2 linked regions of the Alligator mississippiensis genome follow. The protein of the gene in region 2 interacts with the protein of the main gene of each other region in a biochemical or structural test. Links are inferred from orthologs where the notes say so. Each region holds a gene or a part of one and is shown on either strand. Other genes may lie near its edges.

Region 1 (7,438 bases), on a different chromosome or scaffold from region 2:
AGGAGCTCCTCCCGGGTATGGAAGAAAGCACCGATGTTTCTGTTTAAAGGCTGGCATCATGGACTGCCGGGGGTGGGAGATGATCTAGGAAGCCGGTGAATGGATGTAAAGGACCAAAAATGATGGGTCTTGAACAGGACCTTCGTAGCAGCGCTCTGGGTGGAATATGAGCGCAGCAAAACTCAGGCTTGTCGTGGCTAGGGGAAAGGGTGGCAGAGAGGTTAGGATGTGACATAACCATCAGTGAGAGAGTGCCATTTTCTGGATGAAGATATTGCAATATATATTTATATGGCACAGTTTCAAAAAAAATTCAGAACCCAGTATTGAATATTATGTGCCGTCTTAAGAGAGAAACAGAGCAAGCTGGAAATGAGGGAAAGTTACCACCATAACCTTCAGAGAATAAGGATGTGTGGTTGAGGGAAAGCATGTCATTTCTAGGTTTTAAAATACCCACAGAATCACCAAAGGACTTTTTGTTACAGCTCCATGCAGTAATCCTGTTTTCTTTAGGAAAAAAGCTACACGTATATAAAAATGCAATGACATTTATAGACCTAGCTATGGGGTTTGCGGGTTTATTCAGCTTTAAATCCAAGCTGTATGGCTTTCTAGAACTAGCTGATGCATGTAACTGCGTTCAGTGCCACAGAAGCAGTTCAAAGCAAGATTCACATTTATAGGCCAAATAAGAAATTAGTCTTGGGGGAAGAGAGCATTGAAATAACCTGTGTAAATATCCTCTTGGAACGGAGGATATAAAGGGTGTAATGGAGGGAACAATCTCCTGTTATGTTCTGAGCTTAAAGATGGGGCCTTGCAGTCAAAAGAGAGCAGAGAGTCGCGTCCCTAGAAGTAAATAGCTTCTCTTTAGCTGCATTAGCCGCAAAGCTCAGATAATGAATATAAAATATAACTGCTGGGAAACCTGCCCTTGGTTACCAATAAATGTTTGCCGAGCAGATGTGGCATTAACGACAGCTCCAGCGAAGTCTGCTCAAGTACAGGCCTACTGCAAAGAGTTTCGCTACCCAAACCATCGCTTGGACCACGTCGACTCCTCTCCTCGCGTCTTCCGCTGGCTCCTACCCCTCCGTCTCATGAAGCGCAAACTATTTGTCTGTACTTTCAAGGCCCTTCATATCCTCTTTGCCGCTGCGATGTCAAGCCCAGTTCCAGCCTCCATCCCCAACTGATTACATTTCAAGCCGGCGCCTCTGCTGCCAGATGCTGGGGGAGGCCTCCTCATAAAACAGCCTCCTTCTCCACCTTGACGTCGATGCCTAAAAAACTTTGTCCTCTTCCCAGGAGCTGAACTGCTGTCACCACCGCCGACCACACTGACCCGACTGTCTCGCTGCTCCCTGGACCTTGCAATGCGTCTGTAGCCCTACGTGGTCGTTAGCCTCATGGGTAGACTGTACGCCGAGTGGGGCAGAGACCGTCTCTCTACTGTGTGTTTGAGCAGCATGGACTCTCGATCCGCAACCTAGGAGCCCCGATCACGGACTACGGTAGGCAAGGAGGGTCTTTGGAGAAGGTGTGGCTGGATTTACACCGGACTCACCAGCCGTTTCGGGCAAATGGTGTGTTGTACCCAATCTCTCGCCGTCAGCCGCAGTTCACGTGCGGCGCATCATTATGCAACGCGTGTGGAGGGGGGGGAATCCTTCCCGACGGCGGCACCTGACTGACTGATGCCCGGATGAATGACGTTTGATTGCCTTTCTCCGAGCCCGCATCGCCACAATGTTCCTAACGGTCATCCAATCACCCAGCCTTTTTCGAAATACAACCACAGTAAATTAATCTATTGAGCGCACTTTATTCAGTACTTCTTACGCTGGCAAAACTCCCAATGAAGTCATTAGCTTGCTGTGTCTCCACCATATGGTGTCATTCAATGCGGGCAATTTCTTTCCGTGCCGAAGTCTAACATTTGCCGGATTCAATTCACCTAGACAGCTTTCCCCGCTCAAACCCACTGACGCAGCTTTCTGTCAAAAGAGGTCACACGCCGGTTTCTCTTTTGCCGCCCTGCAAGAGAGCTACATCTCCAGCTTTTGCACGTGCAAAATTAAACGGGCTCTACGAAAACAGAGGGGAGGGGGGAAAAAAAAAAGTCGAGGAAGCCGAGCGGAGGAAGTCTGGGCAGATTTCCATAGGAAGAAAGCTCGCGCGTGAAACCTGCATCTACGCGCTTCAACCGGGACGCTGCCAACCTGCTCCTTTCCCCGCGTGAAACGTAGGTCTCTTTTCTAGAATACCGACACGTTTTCTCCGGCCGTACCTTGACGGCTACCGGCGGTCGGCGCCAATTTTAAGACCTAATTAAAGCAAAGGCCTGACGTAACGGGCTCGTACGAGGAGGAGAAAGTCGCGGAGCTCCTCGGTCCGCTCTCCAGGCGTCCTCGAGGGACGCCGGTTTTCAAGTCGTGTCTCCGGCAGCTCGCGGTCGGGGGCGACGATCCCCGAATCCGACGCGGGGTGTTTTGCGGGGCCGGCTGATGCCTGCGACTCGGTGTTGCCGTCTGTGAAATGGACCCTGTTCCCGAACGCCGCGGCACGGTCCTGTCTCGGACGGACGCCGGTCACCGCCGCCGCGCGCGGAGGGAGTCCTCTCCATACCAGCCTTCCCTCGGCGCAGAGAGAAACGGCGCGTGCCGCCCCGTCGCCGCCGGCGGACATAGGACGGCGATGCTGCCACGCCGCCCGCCCGCCCACCCGTGGGGTTTGGTCACGACAACCCCACTGCCACTGCCACCCCGCCGCCGGGAGCCCCTCCCCCAGCCCTGGCGGGGGCCCGCTCCGTGCCCCGCTTCCCTGGCGGGGCCCCCGTGCCGCCCCTCCCCTCCCCTCCCCTCCCCCGCCCGGGCCCGGGCCCGGCCCGCGCCCCCCCGGCACTCACCATCCTCTACGCGGCTCCCGGGTTACCATGGGCAACTGCGTCATGCACGCCGGCGCCGCCGACGTCTAGCGTCACCCCCCCCCCGCCGCCGCCGCGGTGACGCAGGCACGCAAGGACGGAACGTGCGCGAAGCGGCGCGTGGAGGAGGAGTAGGAGGAGGAAGGGGTGGGGAAGGCCAGCCCCGCCCCCTCCCGGGCTGTGAAGCGGGCGCATGCGTGTTGGGCGCTGGAGGCGGGGTGGGGTGGGGTGGGGCGGGGTGGCTGCGGGGCGCTGATTGGCCGGGGCGGGCCACGCCGGCGGCGCCCACGTGGGATGGAGACGCGGCAGGTAAGGGGGGCAGCGCGTGCAGTGCGGGGGGAGGGGGGTTGCAGTGCGCCGGTGTAGTGCGGCACGTGCCAGCGATGCGCAGGTGGGCCTGTGCAGCGTTGGCTTGTGCAGCGTGGCCTTGAGCAGCACGTGCCAGCGATGCCCAGTGTGGGCGCAGTGCTGGCGTGTGCAGTGCTCGACAGTGCAGTGCGCCAGTGAAGCGTGGTGGGGCCCCGCGCAGCGCCCGGGGCGAATGTGGCTGCTGTGGCGGGGGGGTGCAGTGCAGCGCAGTGCAGCGCAGTGCACACCCAGGGGTGGGGGAGCCCAGGGCTACCCCTCGGGGTGCTGCACATCCCCTCCGCCAGGCCTCCAGCCCCTCGCCCTCGCCCGCAGCGTTTTGACGGCGCCCCCCGCCTCGTGGGGTGGCGTGCGGACCCTGTTGCCAGCCCCGTTTGCGGTCAGCGAGCGAGCGAGCGAGACCCCCGCCCGCCCGGCGCGCTGGGCAGTAACCAGGGGGTTAATCTTGACTCGCAGGCCGGACCCGCCCGTCCGGGGTTCACGGGGCTGACCGCGTCCCCAATTAGTAACCAGGCTTTGCAGGGGATGGCGGGACGCTGGGCGCCTTTTGCCCCCGCGGGCACCGGGACAGGAGCGGGGTCAGGGGCCCTCGCGACGCCGTCGCTTCACCACCCCCGTCCCCGTGAGAGCAGGCCGGGCCGCTTCCCAGCTCTGCTACTGCCCTCCTGGGTGTCCCGAGGCATGTCCCTTAATCTGCCTGTACCCCGGGCACGGAGCAGGACCTAGCCCCGGTTGGCCGCTGCCTCTTCTACGATTTCCCCCGTCTGAAACGGGCGCAGGCTGCGCGTCCCCTCTTCCAAGTGCCTCGTGAGGATCCTCGGGGTCCCGTCAAGTGCCCCAGAGAATTGCGAAAGATGCAGCATTTCCCAGGCAGTGATGGCGCTTTATAAGTCACCTTTTTTTTGCATTCATCCAGGGAATAATTAACTTTCTCTAAGACTCGGTGTGTGCGCAGCTGGCGAGCTCCAGCTAAGAGCCGGCAGCTGGGACCGCGCTCACGGTAAGTCAGCTTGAAACCTCCTCCTAGCCTGGGAGTTTTTGGCATGGGGCTGTTCCCAGTGCTTGGATCCCAGGATCTTCCCCCTGCTCCCAACCATTAGCCGTTGGCTATTTCGTCCGGTGCCGCCACCTCCAGAGCGCTGCAGGCAGCGGTTGGTGGTTGCAGCCAGCTCTGGGGAGGCAGGTGAGTCTCCTCGTTGCAAGGAGCCGTAGGGAAGTGGGGATGTCCCAGGTCGCAGTGAAACCCCTCCCAGGCCCACGTTCTCGCCATTGCTGCCACACTAGACCTCAAACACGATCCTACTTCGTGTTGACCCTACGAGGATCGTGGAATCAGCAACGTGGCAGGTTCCCGCTGGAAATGTTGGGGCTCGTTGTGAAGTATCCGTGGCAGATGGAGCTTGTAACCTCTGCAGACCCAACAACGATATCCGGGACACTTAAAGGAGTGCATGGGACTGGAGGGCAGCTGCAGTGTCTGAAAGCCCTGCCTGGGACAGCGTCGCTGGCCTCAAAGGAAAGGATCGGAGGGCTCTCGAGCTCTTTCAGCCCAGGCTGCAGGGTCCCCAGCGAAGCACCCACAGCCGTGGGGGGGCTTTAGGATCGGGGGCCTGCGAAACATTAAACCAAGGTGGTGAAGCAGTCAGGCCGGGAGGTCCAAGGGAAGGTTTCTTTCTCAGGGTTGCAGAAGTGTCGGATCTGGCTCCATATTCAGTATTACCCCCCAGCCATGGCTTGGTTAGACCCGTGATTCCCACCCGGGTGCTGCAGCAGCTTGGGGGTCCCGTGAGATCCTTGTAAGGGTGGCGCGCAGCATTGCAACTGCCTACGTGTGATTTACAAGCTCGGCCCAGATTTCAAATAAAAATCTGTAGTGCCAAACCCCTTTGGCAGTGGGGGGCTGTCTGAGCCGTTTTGTAGTCGTGAGGGGCTGGATGCTCGAGAGATCCCAGGCAGAAGCCATGCGCCGTGCTATGGAGAATGACCATCCCCTCCCAGTCCGTACCAATTTGATCATGGTGGGGAAAATTCCTTCCTGACCCCAAATGGGATCAGTTTGAGTAGAGGGGCCCGATGATGGGCTCAGAGGGCTGGTTTAAGAGCTCTGTGATATGCCCCTGCTTCAGCTCTGCTTAGCCAGCGAACACGGTGGCTACATGGCCACCTCCGTGCCAGCAGCTCTTGGATCCTGGTGCCATGATGGGGATCTCGGTCCCTGTTTGTAGGGAGCAGCTCCCGAGTGGGATAAAAGTCACGGCCTGTGCTGGGCACAGAGTCATAGTGAGGTCGGGCTGGCAGGGCCCTCTGGTTGCCACGTCTGGTCCAGCCCCGTCTGAATCATCCCTGTCTACGAGGCACGATGGAAGCTGGTGGGTTGTATTGGTTTGTTAAGAGCTGGCTTGCAATCGCCCCCATCGCTGCACATCAGTCCCTATAATAAAGCTTAGGTGGTGATGCACCAGGGATGGTGCACAGGTGAAAGCTGCTGTGTCCCCCTCCAGCTGCTTGGAGCTACTGGCACCCTTGACCTCCTTGGTCAATGGACTTGGCCATTTTGACCTTGACCTTGGACACGGGAGCTGGTGTCGTGCTGGAGCGGGAGCCTAGCGGGGATTGCTGCCTGCACAGAGGCCGAGCCCCAGGGGCTCTGACCCCATGCTAGGCGCTGTGCAGATATGTGACCGTGGACCTGTCCATGTTACGCTCGTGCCCAAAGGAGGATTTTGCCGATGGACCTACCTCGGCTTGGGTGGGGTGCAATACTTCGTCATGGCCCTGAACCAACAGGAGATGGCAAAGGTGGGGTTGGCTTGATGCCTTGTATGGTAGGGGCTGAAGTCGGGGTCTGGGTCCCTCTTTGCTGGGTGAACACCAGCAAGCCCTACATCGCCATGCTGGGAGAGTCTCGCAGTGCGGACGAGCCCATGACATGGGCTTATTCACTGCTTCTCTCTCTCCCTGGGCTTCTGCGGGGTGGCCTGGGACGGGGGGCGTTACCAGAGACAGGTTGGTTGCGGAGGCTGATCTCTGGGCAGTGTCGGGCATGGGAGAGCGGGGTCCGTTTACCAGTGCTCCCCTTCTCCAGCTCCGCCTTACAATGGCACCCGCTTCGGCCAGCTTCGACATCGATACCCCGCGGTGGGACCAGACCACGTTCGTGGGGCGCCTCAAGCACTTCTTCAACATCACGGACCCACGCACGGTGCTGGTGTCGGAGCAAGAGCTGGACAGGGCCAAGGTGCTCGTGCAAGGCTGCAGGTACACAGCTGGGCAGCCCAGGCGCCTGGAGGCCTTTCTCAGGGCTACACCGTGAACCATTGAGGGGTTGGGATGGGGGCGACACGCAGCACGAGGCTCCTCACTGAGCCCTCCCGGTGGGGGTTCCCATCCAGCCCCCGCGGGTAGGAAAGAGGTGAGCAAAGCCTTGCACTCCTGCCGACGGGGGGAGTTTGAACCTAGGGCTCCGGGGTACCGCGAGATCTGGTGGAAGGAGTCGGGCGGCCTGGCTCCCACGTACTGGAGCACGTGTCATTTGGGTGTATAGCTCCCTGATGCCCCATGGCGGGGGAAACCAGGCTCTCCCAGGGGGAAACCCTTTTTCAGCAGAGCCCTGCCTCAGGCACCTTGGCAGGACATCATGGGTGGAGGATCATGACGGCAGGGCACAGCTGTGCCCAGGTGGGTGCCTCCCAGGTGCTGATGGCTCTCTGGTTGGCAGGGCAGGCGTCGTGCCGCCGGGGACCAGCCAGGAGCAGCTGCTGTATGCCAAGAAGCTCTACGACTCGGCCTTCCACCCTGACAGCGGGGAGAAGATGAACCTCATCGGGAGGATGTCGTTCCAGGTGCCCGGGGGCATGGCCATCACGGGCTTCATGCTCCAGTTCTACAGGTAATGCTCCCTGGACAGGTTGGGAGCCAGGGCGGACGGGGCGGACCAGTGCCCCTTGGTGGGAAAAGGCTGTTGGACGGGATCTCGCCCTCACGGCGTGCTGCAACGTGATGAGCAGGTCTCGCTTGCAGCAGGCGTCTCCTGCATGCCAGGGCGCCCTTCAAGGGGTTGCAGCCTCCTCCCTCTCCTCCCCGTCCTGGCCCAAGCTGTCGTTGCATCCTGCCCTCTCTTCCTCTGCCACATTTCAACATGCC
Region 2 (6,945 bases):
GATTTTACTTCCCTCCTGCCCTTGCTTTGAGAATTATCTGTAGCTACAATTGTATTAGGCTCATCATCACTGTTAGCAAGATTCAGTTGACTAGTTCAACTGCTATAATTTTAAATGAATGTTTGGGTAGCTGCACTACCTTTCACCTACAGCTCAAAGTGATCCTGGCTTACTTTAAGTTCAATTTATTGCTGTTGTGTGGAAACTGCCAGGAGCAGTGAAGTTTGCCCCTTTCCTTTTACTGTACTACTCAAGCTGTACTTACAAGTCTCCCCTAAAAACAGATCAGCATTTTATCTTTGCACACACTGACTGCCCGAACAAGCTTTTCATAGACTTAACCTCATAGCTTGGCCTAATCCCTCTGAAAGCTTGAGGTGACACACTGAGGCATCTAGCCAAGTTTAAAACTGTGAAGTACATACAGCAACGGGCTTGCACCTTTTCCCCCCCTCTACAAGGGAAGGTGACCTATGGTTTTCATTTGTTTACTTGTTTGTATATGTGGGGTTAACAAGAAAACCTCTGAATTGCCTTCTTCCTGAGCAAGCAGAAAGGCTAGGGAAGAACAGAGCATCAGTAGAACAACAATATCACAAACACCAAGTAAAATCTGCAGCAAAAGGGGTACATGTGTAAAAAACAAGAGAGTCAGACTCAAGTTTCCACTCTATACCTTGTTATCTCAATTTCTTCTTAACAGCTGAAGAACATAAGAACTGCCATTTACTAGGTCAGATCACAAGTCCATCTTGGCCAGCATTCTGTCACACACACACCTCACTCCCATCCCCGCTTTCTTTAGTGGTGCCTTGTAATCGCTTGATGTGCACCCTGTAACCCCAAGATTAAAGGGGGCTTTCAACTTCACCTGGTAGGCACTGGCCCATGTCCCCACTGCACATCAAACAGGTCTGTCACACAGTAGCAGAGAGTAGATGCTGAAAGAGAAGTGAACTGGGTATGACCAGGGTTTTCTGCTCCGCCCAAATCTGTTTCTCTGTCACATGCAGCCTCCAGCAGTTAAGGTCTGGGAAGTTATGATTCAGAAGCTGTATCCCTCACTCCCATGCTCAATAGCTACCCTTTCCTCCAAGGATTTCTCCAATCCCCTTCTAGCTTTGCTGCTGGCTGTCCTATCTGGCTACGCTGCCAGCTTCCATCACATCTGGGAATGATGAGTCCCATCCTTGTATTACAGGCAGGGTGAAAGACAACTTCCTTTTGCAAGTTTTTCCAACTTGCTACTTGCTTTAAAGATCGCAGCCACTTCCATCCCCCTGAGGAATCAGCTAACACCAAGAAGCATCTTCCCCTACAGGACAACTCTCCACCAAGCTGCCACACAGGCACAGGGAAGCCGGGCTGGAAAGGATCTCCAGAGGTCCTCTACTCCAGTGGTTCTCAACCTTTTTGTACCAGGATCCAATGTCAATTTTGAGTTACTTTTTATCATCTGAACATTGGGAGTTTTTTTAGTCAGAGAAAACCAGGATCCCTAATGATAGCCATGTCCATCCCAGCAGCTCCTGCCACCCTCACTTTGCCAGTCTGGAGCAGGGTGGATTTGATTTGAACCAAATTGATTTAAGTGGTTGAAATTATGATTTAAATCACCAGTCAGAAAGCCTCAATTTAATCACTGTTTTCTACAAAAAGTGCATTCTTCTTGTTCAATATCCTTTATTCATTTAACTTCTTGAAACTTTGCACTTTTAGAGAGAACTAAAGGCTTGACTGTGTACACAAACTTGCAGAGAGACAAGAGGGCTAATGGGTGGTAGTCAGGTCTGTTCTCTCATCTCCATATACTGCTGTAAACAAGGATATTCTCTCTGGAGACACTGATCTACAGCCTGAGAACTGAAACTAAGCATCACAGAGATGCTTCATGAGATCCTCTAGACTGAGCACCCATCAAGTCCTATTAGGTAGAGTGGTTTTACGCAGACTCACAGAAATGTAGGGCTTCTTTAATCTTTGCTCATCCATACAGGAGCCTCTGGGAACCCCATAAGATTGAGCCCCTGACTTAGTCCCTGGCCTGTTGTAAGCTATTTGTAAAACTTTTCTAAAAAAGTTACCTAAATGCATGGTCTCAACCAGCACACAATTAGAAGTTATCATCCCAATTCCATGACAGGGTTGCCAACTCTGACTGAAGCTATTCCAGGAGATTTTTTTACCCCCAACAAAACGTAATGTCATTAGTTGTACCGCTTGACCCATTTACAATATCAATCTCCCAGGTTGCTTTTAATAGTCACCGGGAGATAGATGGCTGGGAACATACTTGGCAGCCCAGGAGGGTTGGCAACCCTATCCCATGATGATATCTTCAAGCTTTAACATATGTTAAATTAAACCTATCTTTATATATGCTTTTTTTTTTAAAGCACGTTAACAAAAGTTACAAAAAAAAAATCTGATAAAAAAAATCAGAATTTTAATTTTTTTTTTTTTTAATCGTTGGAGTTGGGTGCACCCTGGTCTGGAGTCACACCTCTGCCACTCCCTGCCAGGGCAGAGTCCCCAGCTCACAAGGTGTGTGTGTGTGTGGGGGGGCAAGCTCCCCATGCCAGGGGGCGCCCCCAGCCCACAGCTGGCAGGGAGGTCACGGCCCCACAGGTGCGGGGCGGGGCGGGGGTTGTGACGCCACCTACCAACCGCCGCCCGGGTAGCCGCCTACCGGCTGCCGCGAGCGCACGGAGAGCCCCCGGGGGGGGTGACGTCAGCGCCCACCGCCGCCCGGTGAGCGCGCTGCCCAACGGCTGCCACGAGCCGCCCCCGCAGCGGGGGGCAGGAGCGAGGTGCAGCGGGGCGGGCCGTACCTGGGGGCGCTGGTCCCAGCTGTACCGCGGCTGCGTGTCCTCGCTCCCCGCTCCAGTGTCTGAGGGCAGTGGCGCCTTGCCCGGCTTCCGCCGCTTAGAGAAGAAACAGCCCATCGTGCCGCCGCCACCACTGCCGCCGCGCCCTGCCTTCACGTAGCCGCTCCAGTGGCTACTTCCGGCTTCGGGCGCACACCCTCCCCGTCTCCCCTGGCGACCACGGTCCCGCCCCCCGCTCTTAACGTTAACCAATGGGCACACGGCATTCCCGCGCCCTACTCACCAATCAGCTTTGTGCCGCCGAGATCAAGCCCCGCCCCCTCTCTCCCAACCCCCCCGACCAATGGGCAGATGGCGCTCTCCAGCCCTGTCCACCAATCAGCAGTGCCCCCCTGGGCTCAGTTCCCGCCCCCCAGGACTCGCTGCAGCTCTAAGCGTTGTGGAAGAGCCTGCAGACCCTCTTAAAGGGACAGGCTTTCCCTGCCCACGGCCAGAGGGTGGGGTTGTGTAGTGAAAAGGGATCTTGGTTCTCTCTGGTAAAAACAATCGCTACTTTTCAGGTTCAAGGAAGTAATCCAAAATCCACATTTTTCCATGATTAAAATGAACCGCCACTAATACATAGATATCTCTATATCAATAAAGATATAGATCTCTATATAGATATATATAATATATATCTCTATGTATTAGTGGCATTTCATTTTTATATCTCTATGTTTTCATAGAGTGTTTCATTTCACCCAATTTCATTTTCACTTCATATATTTATATAGATATCTAAATCTAGATAGATAAATAGTGGTGTTTCATTTTGATCATGGAAAAATGTGGATTTTGGGTTACTTTTCTTAATCTGAAAATTGCAGATTTTTTTTCAGAGAAAATCTAACCCAGGAGGTGCACAGTCCCACCAGGGGGAATGCCCTGCTGGACCTGGTCCAGGCAACAGGCGACGACCTGGTGAGGGGACTCCAGGTTCTCGACCACCTGGGCGACAGCGATCATCACCTACTGGAACTCACCATCCAGTACAGGGTGTCAAGGGCCTGCAGCAAGGCAGTAGCCCTTGATTTCAAGAGGGCCAACTTCAATGACTTGAGGAGATTGGTAGGAGAGGCACTGAAGTCCTGGAGGGTAGGGGAACTGGGTGTCCACAACGAGTGGTCATTCCTTAAGGAGACAATCCTCCGAGCTCAGGGGTGACAGTTCCAATGAGAATCAAAGGGGGAAAGAGTGCTCAAAAGCTCCCCTGGCTCGCCAAAGGCATTCAGGAATGCCTGAAAGCCAAAAAGGAGGTGTACATCCAGTGGAAGGGAGGGGCTATCACCAAAGAGGAGTATACCTCCATCGCTCAGGTTTGTTGTGGGGCTGTTAGGCAGATACAGAACTAGGGCTTGCATCAAGGATCAAGGACAACAAAAAGTCCTTTCTTAAATACATAGGGAGTATGAAGAAGGCACCTGGTAACGTGCGGCCCCTGCAAGATATGCTTGGCAATCTGATCGTTGCACCAGAGGAAAAGGCAGACCTTTTTAACAAATTCTTTGCCTCCATGTTTTTGTGCAGGGACCAGGACACCTCCCCCACTGGGATTCAGGAGGGATCAGGACGGACTCCACCAGGCCTAGGTCAGGGAGGACCGAGTTAGGGAACTTCTGGAGGGGCTGGACGTGTTCAAATCAGCAGGTCCAGATGCTCTCCACCCCAGGGTTCTGAGGGAATTGGCAGGGGTTATCGAGGGGCCCCTGGCATGGCTTTACGAGCACTCGTGGTGCTCTGGCCAGGTGCCAGAAGACTGGAAGAAGGCCAGCCTGGTCCCCATTTTCAAAAAAGAGAGAAAAGAGGACCCGGGCAACTATAGGACCATTAGTCTTACTTCGATCCTGGGGAAGCTCTTTGAGAAAATTATCCAGGAGCACATCTGTGAGAGACCAGTAGGGGGGATGATGCTCAGGGGCAACCAGCATGGCTTCATTAGGGGCAGGTCCTGTCAGACCAACCTAATTGACTTCTATGATCAGGTCACAAAATCATTGGATGCAGGTGTCGTGGTGGATGTAGTCTTTCTGGACTTCAGGAAGGCCTTTGACACTGTCTCCCACCCCATTCTCATTAAAAAGCTAGGCGACTGTGGCATTGATGCCTACACAGCCAGATGGGTTGCAAATTGGCTGAGGGGCCGCACCCAGAGAGTGGTGGTGGACAGGTCATATTCAACCTGGAGGGATGTGGGCAGTGGAGTACCCCAGGGCTCGGTCCTCGGGCCCGCACTGTTCGATCTCTTTATTAGCGATTTGGACAAGGGAGTGAAAAGCACCCTGTTCAAATTCTCTGATGACACCAAGATTTGGGATGATGTGAGCACGCTAGAAGGGAGGGACAGGATACAGCTGTACCTGGACAGGTTACAGGGGTGGGCGACTGAGAATAGGATGGGATTCAATACTGACAAGTGCAGGGTGTTACACTTGGGCAGTAAGAACCAGCAGCATACCTATAGGCTGGGGAACTCCCTTCTTGTAAGCACAGTGACAGAAAAGGATCTTGGAGTCATTATCAATTCCAAAATGAACACGGGCCGCCAATGTGAGGACGCGGTCAGTAAGGCTAACCATACCTTGTCATGCATCCACAGATGCATCACGAGCAGGGCCAAGGAGGTGATCCTCCCCCTCTGTGTGACACTGGTCAGGCCACAGTTGGAGTACTGCATCCAATTCTGGGTGTCGCACTTTGGGAAGGATGTGGCCAGCATTGAGAGGGTCTAGAGGGCACTCGCATGATCTGGGGACAGCAGGGCAGCCCCTACGAGGAGAGGCTACAGGACCTTCTCACTTCACAAGAGAAGGCTGAGAGGGGACCTGGTGGCCATCAATAAACTCACCAAGGGGGACCAGCAGGGAATGGGAGAAACCCTGTTCCCCCGAGCACCTCCCGGAGTAACAAGGAATAATGTCCATAAGTTGTTTGAGTGTAGGTTCAGGCTGCACATTAGAAGGCACTACTTCACAGTCAGGGCAGCTAGGATCTGGAACCAACTTCCAAGGGAAGTGGTGCTGGCTCCTACCTTGGGGGTCATTAAGAGGCGGCTTGATAATTACTTAGCTGGGATCATATGACCCCAGTATTCACTCCTGCCCAGGGCAGAGGGTCAGACTTGATGATCTACTTAGGTCCCTTCCGACCCTACAACTATGAAACTATGAGACAGAAATCAGTTGCTCAAACTGTTCCTTGAATTTCCTCTCTCCTTGTTTTTCTTTTTGGAGAAGGGAGGGGCCGGGTGGGTATCAGAAAGTGGGATGGCGTGGAAGAGTTTTTGCAAAAGAAGTCCCTGGTTTCTCTCTTCCCCTGGCAACTTTCCAGCATTTTGCACTGTGAGGTTTCAGAACAATGGCTCATGTCAGGAAGAGTACCATGCAGTTCAGCCCACTGCAGCCCTAGATAAGAGTCCAGCAATTAGAAATCATAGAGAAGTGGGGCTGGCAGGTTCCTCCAGAGGTCTAGTCCAACCCCCCACCTGAGGCAGGATCATCCCTGTCCAAACTATCCCATATAAATCCATAACCTAAGCTTCCATCAACCCTGACACAAGTCGAGTCTTTAACTGCACACAGGTGCAGTCAGATCTCCCTCCAGATCTGATATGTCCAGGGGTGTTTCCCTTTCAGAGGCCTGCCAAGTCCAGAGGCCTGGGAGCAAGGCTCTTTCAAGCCATGTGCATAACTTGGCTCTTATGCGAGATGGATCTCATCCACCACAGGGCTCCAGTTCCCACCCATGCCTCCCCCTTGCCCCAGCCCACCTGGAGCATCTCCCCAGCCTTGCCCAGTTTTTGAGAAGATGCCTGAAAATGACATTGAAAATGCCCCCTCAACACCCCTGTAGGAGGAAGTCTTGTATTGGAAAGATCAGAAAGCTTGTCTAACTTCATTCCCACCCCCACCCACCACGTATTTGATCCAATAAAAGATATTGTCCCCACCATGTAATTTCTGGTGCATCACAGCTCCCTGTTGCCGGCAGTCCCTCAATATGAGAATGATCTCTACCACAGTTCATGGATGGGTCTTGAGGTGACTTTTTAACCCAATACTTGAGCCACATGCACATC

Evidence for each region. The genes of interacting proteins can lie anywhere in the genome.
Region 1: the proteins of RP2 (region 2) and ARL3 form a complex in vitro, tested with the Homo sapiens proteins (2 studies listed by BioGRID). The link is inferred for Alligator mississippiensis from reciprocal best matches to the Homo sapiens genes RP2 and ARL3.

The regions. Positions count from the first base shown.
Region 1 is NC_081829.1:99,164,125-99,171,562, reverse strand, and holds the start of ARL3 (ADP-ribosylation factor-like protein 3), read right to left. Parts: upstream 3,018-7,438; 5' UTR 2,915-3,017; coding exon 2,912-2,914; intron 1-2,911. Other genes in the region: SFXN2 (sideroflexin-2), read left to right, coding at 6,065-6,094, 6,381-6,553, 7,014-7,184. UniProt on the Homo sapiens protein: Small GTP-binding protein which cycles between an inactive GDP-bound and an active GTP-bound form, and the rate of cycling is regulated by guanine nucleotide exchange factors (GEF) and GTPase-activating proteins (GAP).
Region 2 is NC_081824.1:338,479,065-338,486,009, forward strand, and holds the start of RP2 (protein XRP2), read right to left. Parts: upstream 3,014-6,945; 5' UTR 2,946-3,013; coding exon 2,832-2,945; intron 1-2,831. UniProt on the Homo sapiens protein: Acts as a GTPase-activating protein (GAP) involved in trafficking between the Golgi and the ciliary membrane.